Saccharomyces cerevisiae S288C: one gene and its partners. Changing the gene in region 1 together with any one later gene gives a genetic interaction. Each region holds a gene or a part of one and is shown in the gene's direction. Other genes may lie near its edges.

What was found.
Region 2: mutations in CLA4 (region 1) and CTF4 are lethal when combined (synthetic lethality), as found in Saccharomyces cerevisiae (5 studies listed by BioGRID, with this or other methods).
Region 3: mutations in CLA4 (region 1) and BUD6 together harm fitness more than expected from each alone (negative genetic interaction), as found in Saccharomyces cerevisiae (6 studies listed by BioGRID, with this or other methods).
Region 4: mutations in CLA4 (region 1) and CLN2 are lethal when combined (synthetic lethality), as found in Saccharomyces cerevisiae (5 studies listed by BioGRID, with this or other methods).

The regions. Positions count from the first base shown.
Region 1 is NC_001146.8:66,891-72,332, forward strand, and holds CLA4 (serine/threonine protein kinase CLA4), read left to right. Parts: upstream 1-2,024; coding exon 2,025-4,553; downstream 4,554-5,442. Other genes in the region: non-canonical poly(A) polymerase TRF5, read left to right, coding at 1-1,555; MON2 (Mon2p), read right to left, coding at 4,783-5,442. UniProt on the Saccharomyces cerevisiae protein: Involved in budding and cytokinesis.
Region 2 is NC_001148.4:797,236-802,951, forward strand, and holds CTF4 (chromatin-binding protein CTF4), read left to right. Parts: upstream 1-1,998; coding exon 1,999-4,782; downstream 4,783-5,716. Other genes in the region: TOM5 (Tom5p), read left to right, coding at 322-474; MSS18 (Mss18p), read left to right, coding at 816-1,622; ribosomal RNA-processing protein RRP9, read left to right, coding at 5,124-5,716. UniProt on the Saccharomyces cerevisiae protein: Accessory factor for DNA replication. It plays a role in accurately duplicating the genome in vivo.
Region 3 is NC_001144.5:768,667-774,003, reverse strand, and holds BUD6 (formin-mediated actin nucleation enhancer), read left to right. Parts: upstream 1-2,319; coding exon 2,320-4,686; downstream 4,687-5,337. Other genes in the region: MMS22 (Mms22p), read right to left, coding at 1-2,064; EST2 (telomerase reverse transcriptase), read right to left, coding at 4,808-5,337.
Region 4 is NC_001148.4:64,095-68,729, reverse strand, and holds CLN2 (cyclin CLN2), read left to right. Parts: upstream 1-2,115; coding exon 2,116-3,753; downstream 3,754-4,635. Other genes in the region: BBP1 (Bbp1p), read right to left, coding at 1-1,005.

The DNA.
Region 1 (5,442 bases):
TGATGAAAGAAGCAGTTTTCTGTTGACCGATGAACATGAAGTTTCTAAGCTTACTTCACAGCAATCTCTGAACACTGAAAGCGCTTGCAATGTGGAGTATCCTTGGATAAGAAATCATTGTCATTCGAAACAAAGGAGAATAGCAGATTGGCTAACTTCAGAAATCAAAGATTTCGTTCATTATATCTCTCCAAGCAAGAACGAAATCAAGTGCAGAAATAGAACGATCGATAAACTACGCCGGGCGGTCAAGGAACTGTGGTCGGATGCAGATTTGCATGTGTTTGGTTCTTTTGCCACCGATTTATATTTGCCGGGTTCTGACATTGACTGTGTCGTAAACAGCCGGAATCGCGATAAAGAGGACAGAAATTACATTTATGAATTGGCGAGACATTTGAAAAACAAAGGGCTAGCTATAAGAATGGAGGTTATTGTTAAAACGCGAGTGCCTATTATCAAATTCATAGAGCCCCAATCACAGTTACATATCGACGTTTCATTTGAAAGAACGAACGGGTTAGAGGCTGCAAAACTCATCAGGGAATGGCTAAGAGACTCTCCAGGGTTACGTGAACTGGTACTGATAATAAAACAATTTTTGCATTCAAGACGATTGAACAATGTGCACACAGGAGGATTGGGAGGTTTCACAGTAATCTGTTTGGTTTATTCTTTTTTAAATATGCATCCGCGAATAAAATCAAACGATATCGACGTTCTAGATAACCTGGGTGTTCTACTGATTGACTTCTTCGAACTTTACGGAAAAAATTTTGGTTATGATGACGTTGCTATAAGCATATCTGATGGTTACGCCTCTTATATTCCTAAATCGTGTTGGAGAACTTTGGAACCTTCAAGGAGTAAATTCTCGCTAGCTATTCAAGATCCTGGTGATCCTAACAATAATATAAGCAGAGGCTCCTTTAATATGAAGGATATAAAAAAGGCCTTTGCTGGTGCCTTCGAACTGTTGGTCAATAAATGCTGGGAATTGAATTCTGCTACATTCAAAGACCGCGTTGGAAAAAGTATACTCGGAAACGTGATCAAATACCGTGGGCAAAAGAGAGATTTCAACGACGAAAGAGATTTAGTGCAGAATAAAGCCATCATTGAAAACGAGCGCTACCACAAGAGGCGCACGAGGATAGTTCAAGAAGATTTATTTATAAACGACACCGAAGACTTGCCAGTAGAGGAGATCTACAAACTTGACGAACCTGCAAAGAAGAAACAGAAGGCAAAAAAGGATAAGAGAGAAGGGGAAATCAAAAAGAGTGCCATTCCATCTCCACCTCCGGATTTTGGAGTGAGCAGAAGCAAATTGAAACGCAAAGTGAAAAAAACTGATCAGGGCTCTCTCCTACACCAAAACAACCTCAGCATAGATGACTTGATGGGACTTTCTGAGAATGATCAAGAATCCGATCAAGATCAAAAAGGAAGAGATACCCCTTCGGGACAAGATGAGAAATCACCACTGGAAACTAAGACAGTAGATGCTCAAACGAGAAGGGACTACTGGCTCTCTAAAGGCCAGGCTCTTTAACACAATATAGACTCTTATAGACTATTTACTATTTATACAAGAATACCACATCGATGTCCAAGTGAAACAATAAGCTAATGATATCAAACGCGTGGGTATTTTCCCTTTCCGGAAATATAGAGCCACCAAAAAAGGATAGTTTCCCGATATGGAAATTTTCTCGAGCCGGTAAGATGACGAAATTTTTCATCTCTGGCATGATAGAAACATAGTATGGAACGTGCAGGAGAGTCTGATTCGAGACACATAATTTGAAAGAACCTTCTAGCCTGAGCCTTGTACATGTATTAGCGTTGCCAGTTATTTGCTTCTGCTGCTAATAAGATCAAAACCTTAAGTCCTTTATTTCGATCGAACGTACTGCGCTACTGAAAACCATTGCATCTTTTGCTATCATTCATTCCTGGTGGTTTCTTTGGTGTAATAAATCGAACAGTGAAACTGAAACATAAAAGAAATAGTGCAAAATATGTCTCTTTCAGCTGCAGCGAATAAGATATCTGACAACGATTTCCAAAATATCGGACCGGCACCTAGACCTCCCAGTTCAAATAGCCAGGGCCGTACTTGCTATAATCAAACGCAACCTATAACCAAACTTATGAGTCAACTGGATTTAACATCAGCGTCCCATTTAGGTACAAGTACCTCCAAAAAAAAAAGCGGGTGGGTGTCCTACAAAGATGACGGTATACTTTCATTTATATGGCAAAAGAGATACCTGATGCTACACGATTCGTATGTAGCCCTTTACAAGAACGATAAACAAAATGACGATGCGATCTTGAAGATACCACTAACTAGTATTATAAGTGTAAGCAGGACACAGTTGAAACAATATTGTTTTGAGTTGGTGCGCTGCAGTGACCGAAATTCTGTATCATCAGGATCCTCGTCCTCTTTGAATGTATCATCAGACAGTAACTCCAAAAAATCAATATACATTGCTACAAAGACAGAAAGCGATTTGCATAGTTGGTTAGACGCCATTTTTGCTAAATGTCCATTATTAAGTGGTGTATCTTCTCCAACAAACTTCACACATAAAGTTCACGTTGGTTTTGATCCAGAAACAGGTAGTTTTGTTGGTATGCCCACCAACTGGGAAAAATTATTAAAGCACTCCAGAATTACAGGAGAAGATTGGAACAATAATTCTGCGGCTGTCATTCAAGTGTTGCAGTTTTATCAAGAGTATAATGGAGCCGGAAATCCCACAAATACTTTAGACAAGCCTCAAAGTGGTGAAACTTCCTCCTCTCAAAAATCGCTGCCAAACAGCTATAATGATAACAAACTCAGAAATAATTCAGTAAATTCAAAGTCATCTTCAGGCGTTTCTTCAAGTATGGTATCACAGAGGAAAACCTCACAACCACCAAATACCAAATCGCCTGTTTCTCTAGGAAGCGGCTCACTGCCACCAATAAATACAAAATTGCCCACTAGTCAGTCAAATATTCCAAGACACTTACAAAATGTTCCCAACCAACAATATCCTAAGATGAGAAACGGACACTCCCCAACCAATGGCCAATTTCCTAGGGGACCTATGCATCCAAACAATTCTCAACGATCTTTGCAGCAGCAGCAGCAGCAGCAGCAGCAACAAAAACAACAGCATCAACAATATCCATACCACCATCAAGGACCATCTCCATCTCCATCCCCATCTCCGTCTCCATTAAACCCTTATAGGCCACATCACAATATGATAAATCCTTATTCCAAACAACCTCAATCGCCATTAAGTTCACAGTCGACCCAAAACCAAGCAATTCCACGTTATGCACAAAACTCAAGTCCTACAGCCGCACACTTTCAACCTCAAAGAACAGCTCCAAAGCCACCAATATCAGCTCCAAGGGCGCCATACCCATCAAATCAAAATGCTACTAGTAACACACATGTACAGCCTGTTGCACCTAAGAATGACCAGTCAACCCCACAAACAATGAGGCAGGCCCCAAAGAGACCGGATGCAGATGTCGCACAACCGGGTGGTGTGGCCAAACCGAAGAAGCCAGCAAGGCCTACCATGTCAACTGCAGAAATAATGAGTAAGCTGAAGAAAGTCACCGTAAATGCGGATCCATCTCAATGCTTTAAAGTGATCGAGAAGGCCGGTCAAGGTGCAAGTGGGTCCGTCTACCTTGCAGAGAGGACGCATATTCCGACAGAAAGTAATATGATCGAACTCATAAACAATGATATTGATGAGCCGCACGTAGGAGATAAAGTTGCTATCAAGCAAATGGTCTTATCTAAACAACCTCGTAAAGAACTCATAGTGAATGAAATTTTGGTTATGAAGGATTCACGTCATAAAAATATCGTCAATTTTCTCGAGGCTTATTTGAGAACAGACGATGACCTATGGGTTGTGATGGAGTTTATGGAAGGAGGTTCACTAACAGACATTATCGAGAATAGTCCCACCAACGATAATTCACATTCACCACTAACAGAACCCCAAATTGCATATATCGTACGAGAAACTTGCCAAGGCTTGAAATTTCTACACGACAAGCATATCATTCATAGGGATATTAAATCAGATAATGTCTTGCTGGACACTAGAGCTAGGGTGAAAATTACCGATTTTGGGTTTTGCGCCAGATTAACTGATAAAAGAAGCAAAAGAGCCACTATGGTTGGGACACCTTACTGGATGGCACCTGAAGTTGTCAAACAACGTGAATACGATGAAAAGATTGACGTATGGTCTTTGGGTATCATGACCATTGAAATGCTGGAGGGTGAACCACCATATTTAAATGAAGATCCACTAAAGGCGTTGTACTTAATTGCAACTAATGGTACACCAAAGCTCAAGCATCCAGAAAGTTTGTCTTTAGAAATTAAACGCTTTCTAAGCGTTTGCCTTTGCGTAGATGTTAGATATAGGGCATCAACCGAAGAGCTTTTACACCACGGTTTTTTCAATATGGCATGTGATCCAAAGGATTTGACATCACTGTTGGAGTGGAAGGAATGAAGCACACAACTATTTCTATAAGCATATCATACATACTACAATCTTATGTATTTCTTTTCTTTTAGCTATGCATACCAATGGCATAATATATAAATACGTTCACCTTAAAAGTTTTTTTTTTAAAGTAAATAAAAAAAGACCTGCAACGATACAATAATCAATCCAATGTCGTTTAATATTACTATTTATCCTACGTGATTTTTAAAAATATTCGTCCATGCTTCAGCTTCTAGTCTAGTTTCGTAAATCCAAGTGATAATTCCAAAACTTTATCTTGGAGGCCATCCATTTTATGAGATACTGGGATGGTTCTTAAAATCAACGGACTTAATGTTTGTAGGTTTTCAACTCCAATTTGTTTGTTGCCAAGGGTCGAATTTTGATCTAGAACACCTCTTAAAATCACGCATAGCCCATTTAATAGAGTAGCTAGTTCTGTTTTACGCAATTTTGGTATTGGTGCTCGCCCAATCAAGTATTCATCTGAGATATATCTTCTAAGAGCAAGGGCAATTCTTGCAGAAAGATAAGGAGCAGTTAACTTTCTTAATTTCTCGTTTGTGTTCAACATAAAATTAACCAAATCTTGCAAGCACTCTAAAGAGCACTTATATTTTGTCTGAAAGCGAGGATTTGTGGTGGATCCAAATATACATGAAAAATCGAACGAAGATAGTTTTTGAGACAATTCAGAAAACGTACCACAGTCTTGCATCAAAGCATTTTCTAATTCATCGAATTCATATAAAAATGAACAATCCCAGACGGCATAAATGAAAGTGTCTAATTGCCTTTCATTGAAGAGATCAATGATTCTGTTTTCCAGCAATATCTCCCTATATTTGGAATACTCATTCAAATCGTCTATCTCGGTTAAATTATCGAGCTC
Region 2 (5,716 bases), on another chromosome or scaffold:
TATTACTAAAAGTTCCTCTATATATACTTCAGAGGACAATAAACTCCCTTGATATGGCCTGCATATACTTTACAAGTGCTATCAAACAAAGATGCTGGGCAATGAAGCTGACAGTTAACTCTTCCAAAACTTCCCTTCAAAGAAATTGTGAGAGAAAAAAACCTTCTTGTTACCCTTCTTTGGAAGAATACCGCACATCATAAAATCAAGAAATGAATTCGAAAGTTTACTCTTTCTTTCTAGAGGCGTTACACCAATATTAGCGAATTGCAGTTTCCCACAAAAGGCGTCCATTGGCATCAAATAACTAGATAGTATAAAATGTTTGGTCTACCTCAACAGGAAGTCTCCGAAGAGGAGAAAAGAGCTCATCAAGAACAAACTGAGAAAACCTTGAAACAGGCCGCTTATGTGGCTGCGTTTCTTTGGGTTTCCCCAATGATCTGGCATTTGGTGAAAAAGCAATGGAAATAATTCCCCACTGAAGAAAAAAGATTGCATCTATGAATGACACTAAAATATGTTTCTCTTTTTGTATTTGCTTTTGATTAAATAATGGTCAATTTGCGCCCCCCACCTTATATAGTTTAGAGAAAGACGTGTAAATATTTTTTAAAAAATTGATACTGCTCTAATGAGCCTAAATCTCCTTTCTTCGCTTGTATATATGCGTATTCTGTATGTTTGTCCAGGCAGATTTTTCGGCTTTTTTTACCAGCTTTTATTATTAAAATGTGATAACCTTAATTGAAGGTTGCGATACAAAATAATCCTTTATTACGCATAACCAAGGAAAAGAGAAAATCAGTGCACATATGGGTTTACCTGAAGTTAACTTTCTTCGAAAAAACTGCATACTTGTGGAGTTAAAATTATTCTATCAAACAGTATACCCACCGAAGGAACTATATTGGAATAACCGAATAACTGCAGAATTGAGTACATTCTCCAATATTAAGTATGCAAGGCCGACTTTCGCAGTAAATAATGGCACATTTCAGAGAACAAGACCGAAATTAGACTTGGTACTGGCTTCATCTGATATTCGTAAGCTGGCTACGGTTTTATTTAATTTAAAAGCTCTCATAATGAATACGAAGGGTGAGGAACCCACTCTAACCACGATGACTAGTGTCCAAACGAACGAAGAGAAAAATGATAACCTGGAACAGAAATATTCAAGTCTGCTAGATAGATGGAATGGGAAAGTAGAAGTGCATGATTCTCCTTTCCTTCAACTCCAACGGGACAGCAACCTTTTGTTTGCTGAGAGGCCGGTACGTTACGTTAGCACTACAGAAGGTGAAGGCGTGGACATATCTAGTGAAGAGTTTTTCAGGTTAGAGGAAGAACAGTGCCGAAGGAATTATGATGTTTTGGTCGATGAACATTCTACACCATCAGTCGGGATGAAAGACGGCCAATACGGACCAAATATAATTCACTTTGAACCGTCGCTGTACCACACATATTCTTCTCTACCAATGAGTATGAAATTTTGGTTAAATGGTCTAGAAGACGACGAAACGACGATGATGAACATTGATGAGAAGTCAGCCGAAAATCTGGATATATTATTACATGGTTTCAAAGGATTTTCGAACAAGCGCGTTAAAGGATGAATTAATCATCCTCTTCATGTACTACTTATGTCCAATTTGAGTGTAAAATCACAGGTACAAGGCTTATCCATATTCGTATATATCTTCATAATGTTTCATAATTGCTTCAGAAAATTATTCAAAACGTCTTGTGATATTCATTAGGTGAAATCGTAGTTTGCCTGATACTTGAAAGAATCTCACCTGGAGAATGGGTGTTTTCACTAAGATTCGTTAATTTCCACTAATGATTAATTGTTAACTGTTTAACGCGACGCGTAATAAAGTTTCCTGAATACGCCAACATATGGGAACATATAGATTAAATTAATAAGAAAGCTTGGGAAAAATAATTGAGAAGGGCAAGAAGTGACGTAAATATACTAGACGTACTATTATGGTTTCAGTTATAGACAAGCTTGTTTTTGACTTTGGTGGGAAAACTCTGGTCTCTCTCGCACCAGATAATAATACTTTGTGTGTAGCCAATAAAAATGGCTTAACCAAGATTCTGAAGACAAATAACCCAGAAGAAGAGCCAGAGACTTTAGATTCTTCCAAATTGGTCTCGTCTATAAAATGCTATTCAAACTCGCACTTTCTGATGACTACAATGCAAGGTGATGCTCTTAGGTATAACATCGATTCTAGTCAAGAAGAATTATTGGCTAGATTTGCTTTACCCCTACGTGACTGCTGTGTTATTCATTCAGGTAAAATGGCCGTATTTGGAGGAGACGACTTAGAACTAATCCTTTTGGAATTGGACGATGAAACACACAAAAAACATGCCATTAAAATCGATGAACAAGTTTCTCAAATTTCTTACAATTCACAGATGAATATTTTAGCAGTTTCAATGATAAATGGTAAGGTACAAATTTTTTCTCTGACATCTACTATTCCAAACAAAGTTCATGAGTTAAATGATTACATAGTGGCCAATTCATATGATGATACACACAGAGATAAGATACTCTCGAATATGATGGATGATATAGATAAAGACAATGATAATGACCTGAGTGAAACGGCTGATCCAGATGAGAACAATGTAGCTGATCCAGAATTCTGTGCTGCTAATAGAATTTGCACGAGAGTGGCTTGGCATCCGAAGGGTCTGCATTTTGCGCTACCATGTGCAGATGATACAGTAAAAATATTCTCTATAAAGGGATATTCCCTACAAAAGACGTTGTCCACAAATCTCTCATCAACAAAGGCTCATTTCATTGATTTGCAATTTGACCCGTTACGTGGAACTTACATTGCGGCAGTAGATTTAAATAATAAGTTAACGGTATGGAATTGGGAAACTTCCGAGATCCACTACACCAGGGAATTCAAAAGAAAAATTACTAATATTGCCTGGAAAATCCAAGCGGACTCAAAAACTCTAGACCTTGTTTTAGGTACCTGGTCCGGTAGTATAGCCATTGTCCAAAATTTGGCAGAGTCCGTAGTATCTAATATACCTGACCAATCTGTTGCTGAATCTTCAACTAAACATGGGCTTTTTGTAGACTCCGAATCTGACTTGGAAAACTTAGAGGGAAATGATGATATAAACAAAAGCGATAAGCTATTTTCAGATATTACTCAAGAAGCGAATGCGGAAGATGTGTTCACTCAAACACACGACGGCCCCAGTGGATTAAGTGAAAAGAGAAAATACAACTTCGAAGATGAAGAAGACTTTATTGATGATGACGATGGTGCTGGTTATATTAGTGGCAAAAAACCACATAATGAACATTCTTATTCGAGAGTACACAAGACTCATTCGTTTCCAATCAGTTTGGCAAACACAGGAAAATTTCGTTATATGCCTTTTTCTCCAGCGGGAACACCTTTTGGCTTTACTGACAGGCGTTATTTGACAATGAATGAAGTGGGCTACGTATCTACTGTCAAGAATAGTGAGCAATACAGCATAACTGTCTCTTTTTTTGATGTTGGACGTTTTAGAGAATACCATTTCGAGGACTTATTTGGCTACGATTTATGCTTCCTAAATGAAAAAGGCACTTTATTTGGCCAATCCAAAACTGGGCAGATACAATATAGGCCACACGATAGCATACATTCAAACTGGACCAAGATTATTCCTTTGCAAGCTGGTGAGAGAATAACAAGTGTGGCAGCCACCCCGGTTCGCGTTATTGTTGGTACATCATTAGGCTATTTCAGAAGTTTCAATCAATTCGGGGTTCCATTTGCTGTTGAAAAGACATCCCCAATTGTAGCGCTTACTGCTCAGAATTATAGGGTTTTTTCAGTACATTATTCGCAGTTTCATGGCCTTTCATACTCTTTATCTGAATTGGGTACTTCTAGTAAAAGGTACTATAAAAGAGAGTGTCCACTTCCAATGAGTTTACCAAACATTAATTCTGATATGAAAAAAGACGCAAATCTTGACTACTACAATTTTAATCCGATGGGCATCAAAAGTTTGTTCTTTTCAAGCTACGGAGATCCATGCATTTTTGGGTCCGACAACACGCTTCTATTGTTATCAAAGTGGAGATCACCAGAAGAAAGTAAATGGCTCCCTATTCTAGATAGCAACATGGAAATATGGAAGATGTCAGGAGGGAAGGAAACGACAGATATACATGTCTGGCCCTTGGCTTTGGCGTATGACACATTGAATTGTATCTTAGTTAAGGGCAAGCATATATGGCCCGAGTTTCCCCTTCCGTTGCCATCCGAAATGGAGATTAGAATGCCAGTATTTGTTAAGAGTAAATTACTAGAGGAAAACAAAGCTATATTAAATAAAAAGAACGAAATTGGAGCTGACACCGAAGCGGAAGAAGGGGAAGAAGACAAAGAAATACAGATTCCTGTTTCTATGGCGGCGGAAGAAGAGTATCTGCGCAGCAAGGTTTTGTCAGAGCTGTTGACAGATACACTCGAAAATGACGGTGAAATGTACGGCAACGAAAATGAGGTATTGGCAGCATTGAACGGTGCATATGATAAGGCTTTGTTACGTTTATTTGCGTCTGCATGCTCAGACCAAAATGTTGAAAAGGCTCTTTCGCTTGCTCATGAATTAAAACAAGATAGAGCACTTACTGCAGCCGTTAAGATATCAGAAAGAGCTGAGCTGCCCTCTCTCGTTAAAAAAATTAATAATATAAGGGAAGCTAGATATGAACAGCAATTGAAATAAAAAAATGTAAAATATATATACGCAAGAGACAATTATTTGATACCTGTTCATTTGTTCAAATCATCGTTCAAAATGCTCCCACATTAACATATATTTCTTTGAATGCGACGATAATAAAGAGTTACGTTGAACATGATCTGAGCTGGAAGCGTCCTTGCGAATTTTCGCGAAAGGAAAAAGTGAAAAAATATGAAAAAAAAAAAAAGAGATGACATTTTATAGATGAGCTTTGATTAAACAGTGTAACACCTGGTCCTGTACCGTAAATATTCAAATAAGCATCAATTCAAAGTTCTTTATTTCTTCTTTAGCATTTCAAAATTATAGAAAATCTAGAAAAGATGTCAGATGTTACCCAACAGAAAAAGAGGAAAAGATCCAAAGGAGAAGTTAATCCATCAAAACCCACAGTAGACGAAGAAATCACAGATCCATCCTCAAACGAAGATGAACAACTAGAAGTTTCGGATGAAGAAGACGCATTGGAATCTGAAGAAGAATTCGAGGGTGAAAATCCAGCCGATAAAAGAAGGAGGCTTGCAAAGCAATATCTGGAGAATCTGAAAAGCGAAGCTAATGACATTTTAACTGATAATAGGAACGCTGAAGAAAAAGATTTAAACAATCTCAAGGAAAGAACAATCGACGAGTACAACAATTTTGATGCTGGAGATTTGGATAAGGATATCATTGCGTCCAGGTTAAAAGAAGACGTTGCTGAACAGCAAGGCCGAGTCTTCAGATATTTTGGCGATAAACTTCTAATATCTGAAGCAAAACAGAGCTTTACCAGGGTAGGGGAAAATAACCTTACTTGCATTAGTTGTTTCCAACCCGTTTTAAACAAATACACCTTCGAGGAATCATCTAATGGCGATAAGAACAAAGGTAGGTTATTTGCCTATACAGTTAGCAAAGACTTACAACTCACCAA
Region 3 (5,337 bases), on another chromosome or scaffold:
TGCCGCAATTTGAAAAAAATGGATTGGTTTAGCTTTTTTCCTCAAGCTATTGACCTTCGATCTAAATTCACGATGAAATTCACCTATTAAGTCGAATAGTTCAGGCATGTCAAGGTGCACCAAAAAAGCAATAAGGCTTTCGTTAAAGTGAACTAGTTCAGTATCAGTGATACCTTTATCAATGATTACTCTGAATATTTTCTGTAATGATGTAGCTATATCTGCAGGATTCAATTTTGATAGCAAGAAACTCTTGTCTGACAACTGGATCTTGAAGAAATTAGGTGGCTCAAAAGGTTTTTTTAGTAAAATTGAGTCAAGTACGACCATTATTGGTCCAAGCTCTTGATTGGAGTCTTCTTCCTCAAATTCCATGTCATGATTAATGCTGTCCCTATTACGTACATTTGGCTTTGTGAAAGCGTATCGGTTCGTGGGAACCTCTACAACAGTATTGAAAACTGGTTTTCGTCTCGATTCAAGATCAGCGGAGAAACTTGAGTATATAGGTGCTTTCTTCTTCCTTCTTTTTTTCTGTGGCTTGAGAGAAGAGCTGTCATCCTGTTCTAGGGATTGAGATTCTAATTCTTCAAAAAAATAATCATCAATTACATGATTCTTCTTAGAAACAAATGAAACTGGATTATTAGCTGCCAAATGAGATTTATGCGCTGACCGTTTTCCGACTTTGATAGCTTTTGTACTTGGGGCCAGACAAGAATTTCGATATTTGTACTTATATCTTCTCACTCTCTTACTTTTTGTATTCAAAAAGTTGGCATCATTGGTTGCTTTAATTCTTTTAGGTTTAACCAACATCTTGTCAATTATACCATCGTTATGCTCTTCAGCAGCATCTAGGGAAATTACACTTTGATTATCTTCGGCAGATATATTGTATTGCTCACTAAATCCGCTATCTGAATGCCGTGAATTCAAATAAATAATAGGCTGGTCTTTATAAGACACATGTGATATGCAGCTCCCCGGTCCGTCATATTCCAGCTCATACACTGGTTCATTGCGGTATTCCTCATTTAAATTAAAACCAGAAGTTCCAGCCGATTGTGCGTCTTCACTATACTTGCTCTCATAATATTCTTGCAATTCCTTTAATTCCTTTTCGTTAGCCTCACGATCCTCTGGAAGATTTCCTAAGTATATATCTGGAGGGGCGTTTTCCTCGATATCCAGTTCGTCATCAGGTGCAATAAGATCGTTCAATAAGTTCTGTTCTTCATCTTCAATATGGGCGCTTCTGTTCATTTTCCTCTTAGCCACACCCTTATGGTTCAATAATTGAGTTTTTCTTTTCGTGACTTTTGAAGACTGCTGCTTTTGCAACGACTTTTCCCAAGCAACTCTTGGCAGGACCCCACGGTAACCAGTTCTTACATTCAATACTCTTCCTCTAAATATTACTTCGTCATTTTGAGTATTCTGTAAATTTGTACTAGCCAAGTCTTGTTCATCTTCCGTAGAATCACCTGATTGAAATACTATATCCTGGTCGAGGTCTTTAAAAGTACGATGCCTTTTCTTTGGTATTTCTTCATCACTATCATATCTTTGAGATTGAACCGAGCTGTTTTCGGGTTTAATGGAGTCGATTGTAACATCTTTCTGCTCATCTAAGGGTTTACCAGTTCTCTTTGTAAGTAAAATATCATTTGAGTGAATCACTGTAGAAGCGTTCTTCGGTAAGGTCAACTGATTCGAAATGCTGTCAAAACTAGAGATATCATAGCCCTCTAGCAACTGCCTATGCTTTATGCGTTCTAAACTGTATGGCATCTTTTGAATAGCCTTCCTCTTCCTCAAAGACCACCGAAGCCCCGTAGTAACTTGTGTATCAGTTACTACGGAAGGAGTACAAGATTCTCCAGCAGTGGAATCCAGGCTCAACCTCTCAGTGACAATTTTCTGTGATCTGCTTGCTTCTTGGACGTTTTCCTCTGCCCATAAATAATTTTCATTGAATTCGGGTTCGTATATGATACTAATTTCCTCATCAGTGGCCTCAGAATCTGATATCACAATAGGATTCGGTTCATCAACATCCATAAGCTTATCTGCTGACGCTACCACTAAACTTCAAATCTACAATCCTATCTTTTATTCTTTCACTTCTTGAATTTAATTTTACACGCAGATGCGCTTTACTCTTTGAAGATATCTCGCTAGCCGAGCTGAACGAATTTTATCCTACTATTATGCATTCTTGAGATAATGGCATCAAAACAAACCCAAGAAAAGGGAAAAAGAGTAGAAGCTGGCTGCCAAATTGGTGTAGTAATCCTCGTATTATTTTAAAATTAGATGAAGATGGCCGTGGATGACCCTACGTATGGCACCCCAAAGATTAAAAGAACTGCTTCTAGCAGTAGTAGTATTGAAACGACAGTAACAAAGTTGCTGATGTCCACCAAGCACCTCCTCCAGGTCTTAACACAATGGTCTAAGGGGACAACCTCTGGAAGATTAGTATCTGATGCATACGTTCAGTTGGGCAATGACTTCAAAGTCGTATCGAAATTCTTCATGCATGCGAAAGTTGACATGTCAGATGTTGGTGATGTGCCAATGGCTTTAAGACGTGTATTGGAAGTGACATTGAGGGAACCACCATCTGATGAAACTTTAAATAAACATCTGCCAAAAATCAGAGAGATTATAGTGACACTTTTAGACAAACTAAAGGTTAAACAAGCAATTTTGAAGAATATGCAGCAAGAGCATCGGATAAGTGTAAAATCACATCATCAACAAAACCCTTCCTTTACTAGTAACCTTTCATTGGGTAGTGAAGGGACCCGTGAGGGGACTCCATTAAGTAGCAGAAAAAGCAGTATTGTACGTGATCAGAGGCAAAGCGATTCAGTCGAAAACAGCTATGGGGAAAAAGTGAATTCTACTTCTACGGGAACACCCTCTGCTCAGTCAGCAGAGGCAACATTGACAAAACCAAGAACTAATATTAAACAAAACCTTAAATCTAACAATGCTCCAAACGCATCTGATGATGATGATGCACTTTCACAATTGAAGAAGGGAACTAATTTACAAAGGAGAGCCTCAAAGAGATACTCTGCCTACCATATGGCTAAATTGACAAATCAGTCTACAACAGAAGCTGCTGCGGCTGCCGGCCTCATGACAACTCCTTCACCCTCGATGTTGCATCTAGAGGAAACCGTAAGAAAGTCAAAGTTATACGGAAATAACAACAATGATGATGATAGAAACATTAATTCAGCTGAAAATAAGGGTAAAAGCATTGACGATGTATCAAAGGCGAGTCCATTGGCGAAAACGCCATTGCCTATTGAGAATGTTCGTGCATCTCCACGAAGATTATCAAGCGTTGTTACAACTTCGCCAGATAAAGCCATGAATGGAACTTGTCCAGTATTTTTAAGGATAGGAGACAAAACAAAGAAGTGTCATGTGCAACTGCCTACTACAAAAAACGCATTAAGGCTCCTATTTATTGAGCGCTTTGCGTATTCTCCTGGAGCAAATTCCTTCCCAGACATATATATTATGGATCCTCAATATGGAGTATTCTATGAATTAGAGGAACTAAATCTTCTCGATATTAAAGAAGGGTTTGTTATCGAGCTAAAGCTCGAAGAGAATCCAAATAATACGATCAAGGAATTCATTGACACAGTTAAGATGGAGATATCGAATAGTCAGAATGATATAATAAGACATTTAAAAGAAATGAGTTTTGGTTCTGCAATTAGCGGCAAGCAAACGGAAGTTTTACCACAACCTGGCCTTGAAGCTAACAAACACGATCTTGTGGGGCAAAACAAAAAAGATGATGATAAAACGATCAAAGATATTCAGTACGAATTGGGGAAAATAAAACAAGTGCATAATATTAATAGGTCAAATATTAATGAGACTATTTTCAACATTTTACGAAAGGTCGATAACTTTAAGTCTTTATCATTTTCTGCCAAAAACTCTTCCAACAGAATGTACATGGAAAAATCACAGACCGAACTCGGTGATTTATCCGATACTCTGCTAAGTAAAGTAGATGATTTGCAAGATGTAATCGAAATTATGAGGAAAGACGTTGCTGAGCGTAGGTCTCAGCCCGCTAAAAAGAAGCTAGAAACCGTATCCAAGGATTTAGAAAATGCCCAAGCAGATGTACTTAAACTACAGGAGTTTATTGATACTGAAAAACCACATTGGAAAAAAACTTGGGAAGCTGAGCTCGATAAGGTCTGTGAAGAACAACAGTTTCTCACGTTGCAGGAAGAGTTGATTTTAGATTTGAAGGAAGACTTGGGTAAGGCATTAGAAACTTTCGATCTTATTAAGTTATGTTGTGAAGAACAAGAAAAAAACCCTTCGAGATCAAAAAGTAATCCTATTTTGCCTATTATGAGACCGGGCACATTTAATCAGGTAAGGGAGCAAGTTATGGTGGCCGTCCAATCTTTAAACCCTGACCACGATAGTAGGGTCGAAGCTATTGACAAGGCTGAGAAGATGTGGGAGATGGAAAGAAAACTTAAAGCTAGTAATGAATTTGATGATGAACTGGAAAATTTTGTGGGTAATTCAAACCTGAAAAAATCGGGAGGCTTTGAAGAAGTAGAAAGGATAAGAAAGCAGAAGGATGAAGCAAATTTGAGAGCATATTTTGGGCCGGGGTTTACTTAAATACACTAATTTTATGAAAGCTAACGGAAAAGAGATTAGTGCTTTTGGCTTATTACAAAGTTTGCGGCAATATTTTCCTTATCAGCATCATAAGCTGTCAGTATTTCATGTATTATTAGTACTAATTAACTATATGTATATATATATATATATATGCTTGCAAGTGTTGAATTTCCTTTCTCAAAAGAATGATATTATCTTTAAATTTTGATGTGTTTGAAGATAGGCTTTCCAAAAATCCATTCAATATGGTGAATCGTACCTCATACTCGATTAAAGGATCACATTTCGTAATTGGACAACCGCTGACTGTCATTTCAATGATGCGTTGTAAGAACGAATGAAATTGCATATTTTGCGTAACATTAATTGATAGATCCTTAAAAGCAGATTTATAACATTCCGAAATGTTCTTTACAACATGATCAATTTGCATGAGAACGGTGTTTGTTGAATTTAAATTTGTGTCAATTGTTTTATAAGAGATTCTAGTGTTAAACAGCGCTATTAAACTTCGAAATATCCCTTTACTAGATTTCGAACGGATATGGAAATTATTCATTGTGCTTGAATGTTTCCAAACTTCCAATTCTTTAACAAATATGTGCATTGCACAAAATTGAATAACCGTATCATCATCTGATTGGGAGC
Region 4 (4,635 bases), on another chromosome or scaffold:
TAAATCGGATAGTCTTTGCTTCAATGTTTGTATTTCAAAGTTTTTCAAATCCTCCTCCTGATACAGCCGTTCCCTAGAAGTGGCCAGTTCAGCCTCATGACTGATCGTTTGATCAAGGACCTTTTTCAAACTCTTGTACTTCTGACCTAATGAATAATAATTTTCAAAGAGTGTCTTAGATTTCTTCAACTCGTTGACCAGTTCTGCTCTCATTTCCTCGTATGCTTGCTTATAAGTTTGCTCATTCCTGTGGAATTGCTCACGCTGCTCTCTAACATCCTCACACAAATCTTCCAGGTCTCTACTGTTCAAGTCCATTTGTGCAAAAAGATCAAAATATGCCTTTTTATACTCTCTATTCTTGTGGCAAGCATCTTCGTCCCGGACATAGTAATTGTCTATTTCATCACGTTTTGTTAAGGGAGATGGAAATTTGCCTGGTATATCTTTAACCGATAACTTATAGGGCGATCTTCTAACCTCATTAACTCCATCCTTGTTAAATAATTTCGAGAGCAAAGGGTCGTCTTCCTGAGGTGGTATAAAGGGTATCTGCGAATTGGAAAGCTCATTTATAGTTCTCCTTTTTGTGTGTAGTCTGTGACCAAATGTATCCGTAGGTTCGTTACGAAGTGGTTCTCTCGGTACTATCGGAGCAGGACTTCGTAAAGATCGTATTCTCTCTTTGCTGTGGTGGTCACCGTTAACAATTGAGTTAAAGCCGTTCTCGTTGTACTCTGGGAGTAACTCGTACTTCCTATGGAGCGTTGAATCCAGACCAGACCACGAATTTGACCTCGATAAGTTTGTACTCCTCCTGTTGGAGTCATTTCCAAACTTCATAGAAAAATTTGTGTCGTCTTGGGCATACCTAGATCGGTCTCTTCGTTCTTCCTGATCTTTATATTTCATTGAAGGTGATATGTCCGTACCAAACAGCGCATCCTTAGTCCATTTGAAAAGACCAAAAATGCCCCCTCCGCCCGTGTTGTCTTCCTGATTCATTGTTCAGTAGTCATTCGCCTCTATGCTCCTTCGAAGATTGACTTTTTTCGTTGTTTTGATTTCCTCGTCTTCAGTCTCTTTATGTTGTATTAGTTTTCAAAGTGTCAAGTTTTTCGTGATTTTCACCGAGCGACACAAAAACGGGTCGCGTCAGAAATAATTTTAAAAGAGCAGCGTAATATACCGCTACAGAAAAATTGGTTCAAGTATCCATTTTTAAGCATCTTTGCTTCTATTTACTCTTGAAAATATTCCTCCAGTATCGCCTGTGTTGGAGTGCGGTAACTTTTATTGTTTTCTCTACGAGTGAAAGGCATTTTTTGAAACCACTATTCGTTTCCTTCTGTAAGTTATCTCATCTTTTTCGTATCCTCCGCACTTTTACCCTGAAATGCGAACTAAAGCAACTATACATTGTTAATAATGATACTGAGGTTCAAAAGTGCCAAGTTATCAATTCATGCGCGCTTTACCCGGCTCCATCTTTCCGAAAACGGAAATCATCGCGAAATTTGTCTCAACGGAAGTACACGAAATTCGTCCCGCTGAACCTCAAAACTGCGTGTTCTAGTCACGAAACGCGCCAAAAACCGTTATGTTTCCGCATGCGGATACCTAGCGAAGAGCACATTTGGCGTAGCCTGTTAAGTATAACTGCTAAAAATTGAAATGAACACCAACTGAAACAACTGTTGGCCCTTTTTGAGGATCTAACCTGCGAAATGTTGATCTGACAGGCCTACTGAAAAACGGAAAGGAAAAAAGGCCTGCGCAAACGCAGAACGCAGATCCGCCTTCTATTTGCGTATCGCACGCAGCCTCTGGCTACTTGTTTAACTTACTATCTCTTTCATATATAAAAAAATAGCAATCGACTCTGGTAACTATTATGCTCCTCTTACTGGTTTTTTAGTGAATTGGCAATAGATAATATCAAGGACAACTTACTTTTATTTTAACATCTACTTTACTTCATCGTCAAATTTTCTTCTTATATACAGCATTGCTAGACTCTATAGCTGCCAATTCATTCGCTTACCACATCATAATTTGCATACAAAAGAAAATCTTTTCTTTTTTCCATTCATTCATTAAATTTAACGACAGACAATGGCTAGTGCTGAACCAAGACCCCGTATGGGACTCGTCATCAATGCTAAACCGGACTACTATCCGATTGAGCTATCTAATGCAGAATTACTTTCTCACTTCGAAATGCTGCAAGAATACCACCAAGAAATCTCCACCAATGTTATTGCTCAATCATGTAAGTTCAAACCTAATCCAAAACTAATAGACCAGCAGCCTGAAATGAACCCCGTGGAAACAAGGTCCAACATTATCACTTTTTTGTTCGAGCTGTCTGTGGTCACTCGAGTGACAAATGGTATTTTTTTTCATTCAGTTAGATTATATGACCGCTATTGTTCCAAGAGAATCGTGTTACGGGACCAAGCCAAATTGGTTGTCGCTACTTGTCTCTGGTTGGCTGCTAAAACTTGGGGCGGTTGTAATCACATCATCAATAATGTAGTCATCCCTACTGGCGGAAGATTTTATGGTCCCAACCCAAGGGCACGTATACCTCGACTCTCTGAACTAGTTCATTACTGTGGTGATGGTCAGGTCTTTGATGAATCAATGTTTTTACAAATGGAAAGACATATACTAGACACTTTAAATTGGAACATTTATGAACCAATGATCAATGATTACGTTTTAAATGTTGATGAAAATTGTTTGATGCAATACGAACTTTATGAAAATCAAGTTACTTATGACAAACAATGCTCTGAAAAACGTCAGTCTCAATTATCCCAGGATAGTGATGCCACTGTAGACGAGAGGCCCTACCAAAACGAAGAAGAAGAAGAAGAAGACTTAAAACTAAAGATCAAGTTGATTAATTTGAAAAAATTCTTGATTGATGTATCCGCGTGGCAGTACGACTTACTTAGATATGAACTTTTCGAAGTATCGCACGGCATATTCTCCATTATCAATCAATTCACCAATCAAGACCACGGTCCTTTTTTAATGACTCCAATGACATCAGAAAGCAAAAATGGTGAAATTTTGAGTACCTTAATGAACGGCATTGTTTCCATTCCTAACTCCTTGATGGAAGTGTATAAAACGGTCAATGGTGTTCTACCCTTCATTAATCAAGTGAAAGAATATCACTTGGATCTACAAAGAAAACTGCAAATTGCATCCAACTTGAACATTTCGAGAAAGCTTACCATATCAACCCCATCATGCTCTTTCGAAAATTCAAATAGCACATCCATTCCTTCGCCCGCTTCCTCATCTCAAAGCCACACTCCAATGAGAAACATGAGCTCACTCTCTGATAACAGCGTTTTCAGCCGGAATATGGAACAATCATCACCAATCACTCCAAGTATGTACCAATTTGGTCAGCAGCAGTCAAACAGTATATGTGGTAGCACCGTTAGTGTGAATAGTCTGGTGAATACAAATAACAAACAAAGGATCTACGAACAAATCACGGGTCCTAACAGCAATAACGCAACCAATGATTATATTGATTTGCTAAACCTAAATGAGTCTAACAAGGAAAACCAAAATCCCGCAACGGCGCATTACCTCAATGGGGGCCCACCCAAGACAAGCTTCATTAACCATGGAATGTTCCCCTCGCCAACTGGGACCATAAATAGCGGTAAATCTAGCAGTGCCTCATCTTTAATTTCTTTTGGTATGGGCAATACCCAAGTAATATAGTTCCTGTTCTTTTCATGATAAATGAATGCCAATTTGCCAAACGTACCAAAAAGAGACCAATATTATAAGATTTATAAAAGAAAAGCTTTCATATTCTGCGGGAAAAGAGAGACCACATACTCAGTTTATCGCTATAATTTTAACGGTATATATTTATATTTTTGTAAATCAATGAAACAGCCAACTAAATTCTGTGTAGAGTTAAAAAAAGGACATTAAAAGTATTTTTCTTTGCTGATGGCACTCAAGTCTAATCTTATTAAAAAAAATCGATTATTAGAATAAAGAAAATGTTATTCAGTTGTGGTAAAATCCTAAGCTCAACAATTCATAACTTAAAGGGATAAGAAGCGACGACATATAATATGAAGAGTGACTTGTTCATGATACAATGGAAAGCTATTTATTCTTTTTCTAAAGATTCCTGTATTTTCCTTAAGAACTTCCTGCATACAATATACAGCATTGTTGCCTTTATCGAAACGAAAAACTACCGAAAAAAGCAAGACGTCCCACTATTTTAGACTTCGTATACTTATTACGCAGGTAGGAGTGCAATAGTTGATGGGGTAGAGAGAAGCACTGAAACTGGTGTCCTCAAAGAAACTGGTGTTTTCAAAGAAACCCCATCTAGATGATATTAACTACCCATTCTCTATACACCGGGCATCAGTCAAGATAGTGACGATTTGCTGTATGTTAAGCTAAACTATGATTCTCCCTTGAGAAACCACTTGAAATGTTATCCGCAGCGGTTTATTTGAGAAGCATGGCCAGACAAATACAGAAGAAGGGTAGCAGTTAATCTAAACCTGATGCCCACAAAGCGTTTCAGTTCTCTAAACAACAGGAAACTGCGATTAATATTACTATTATTCATTT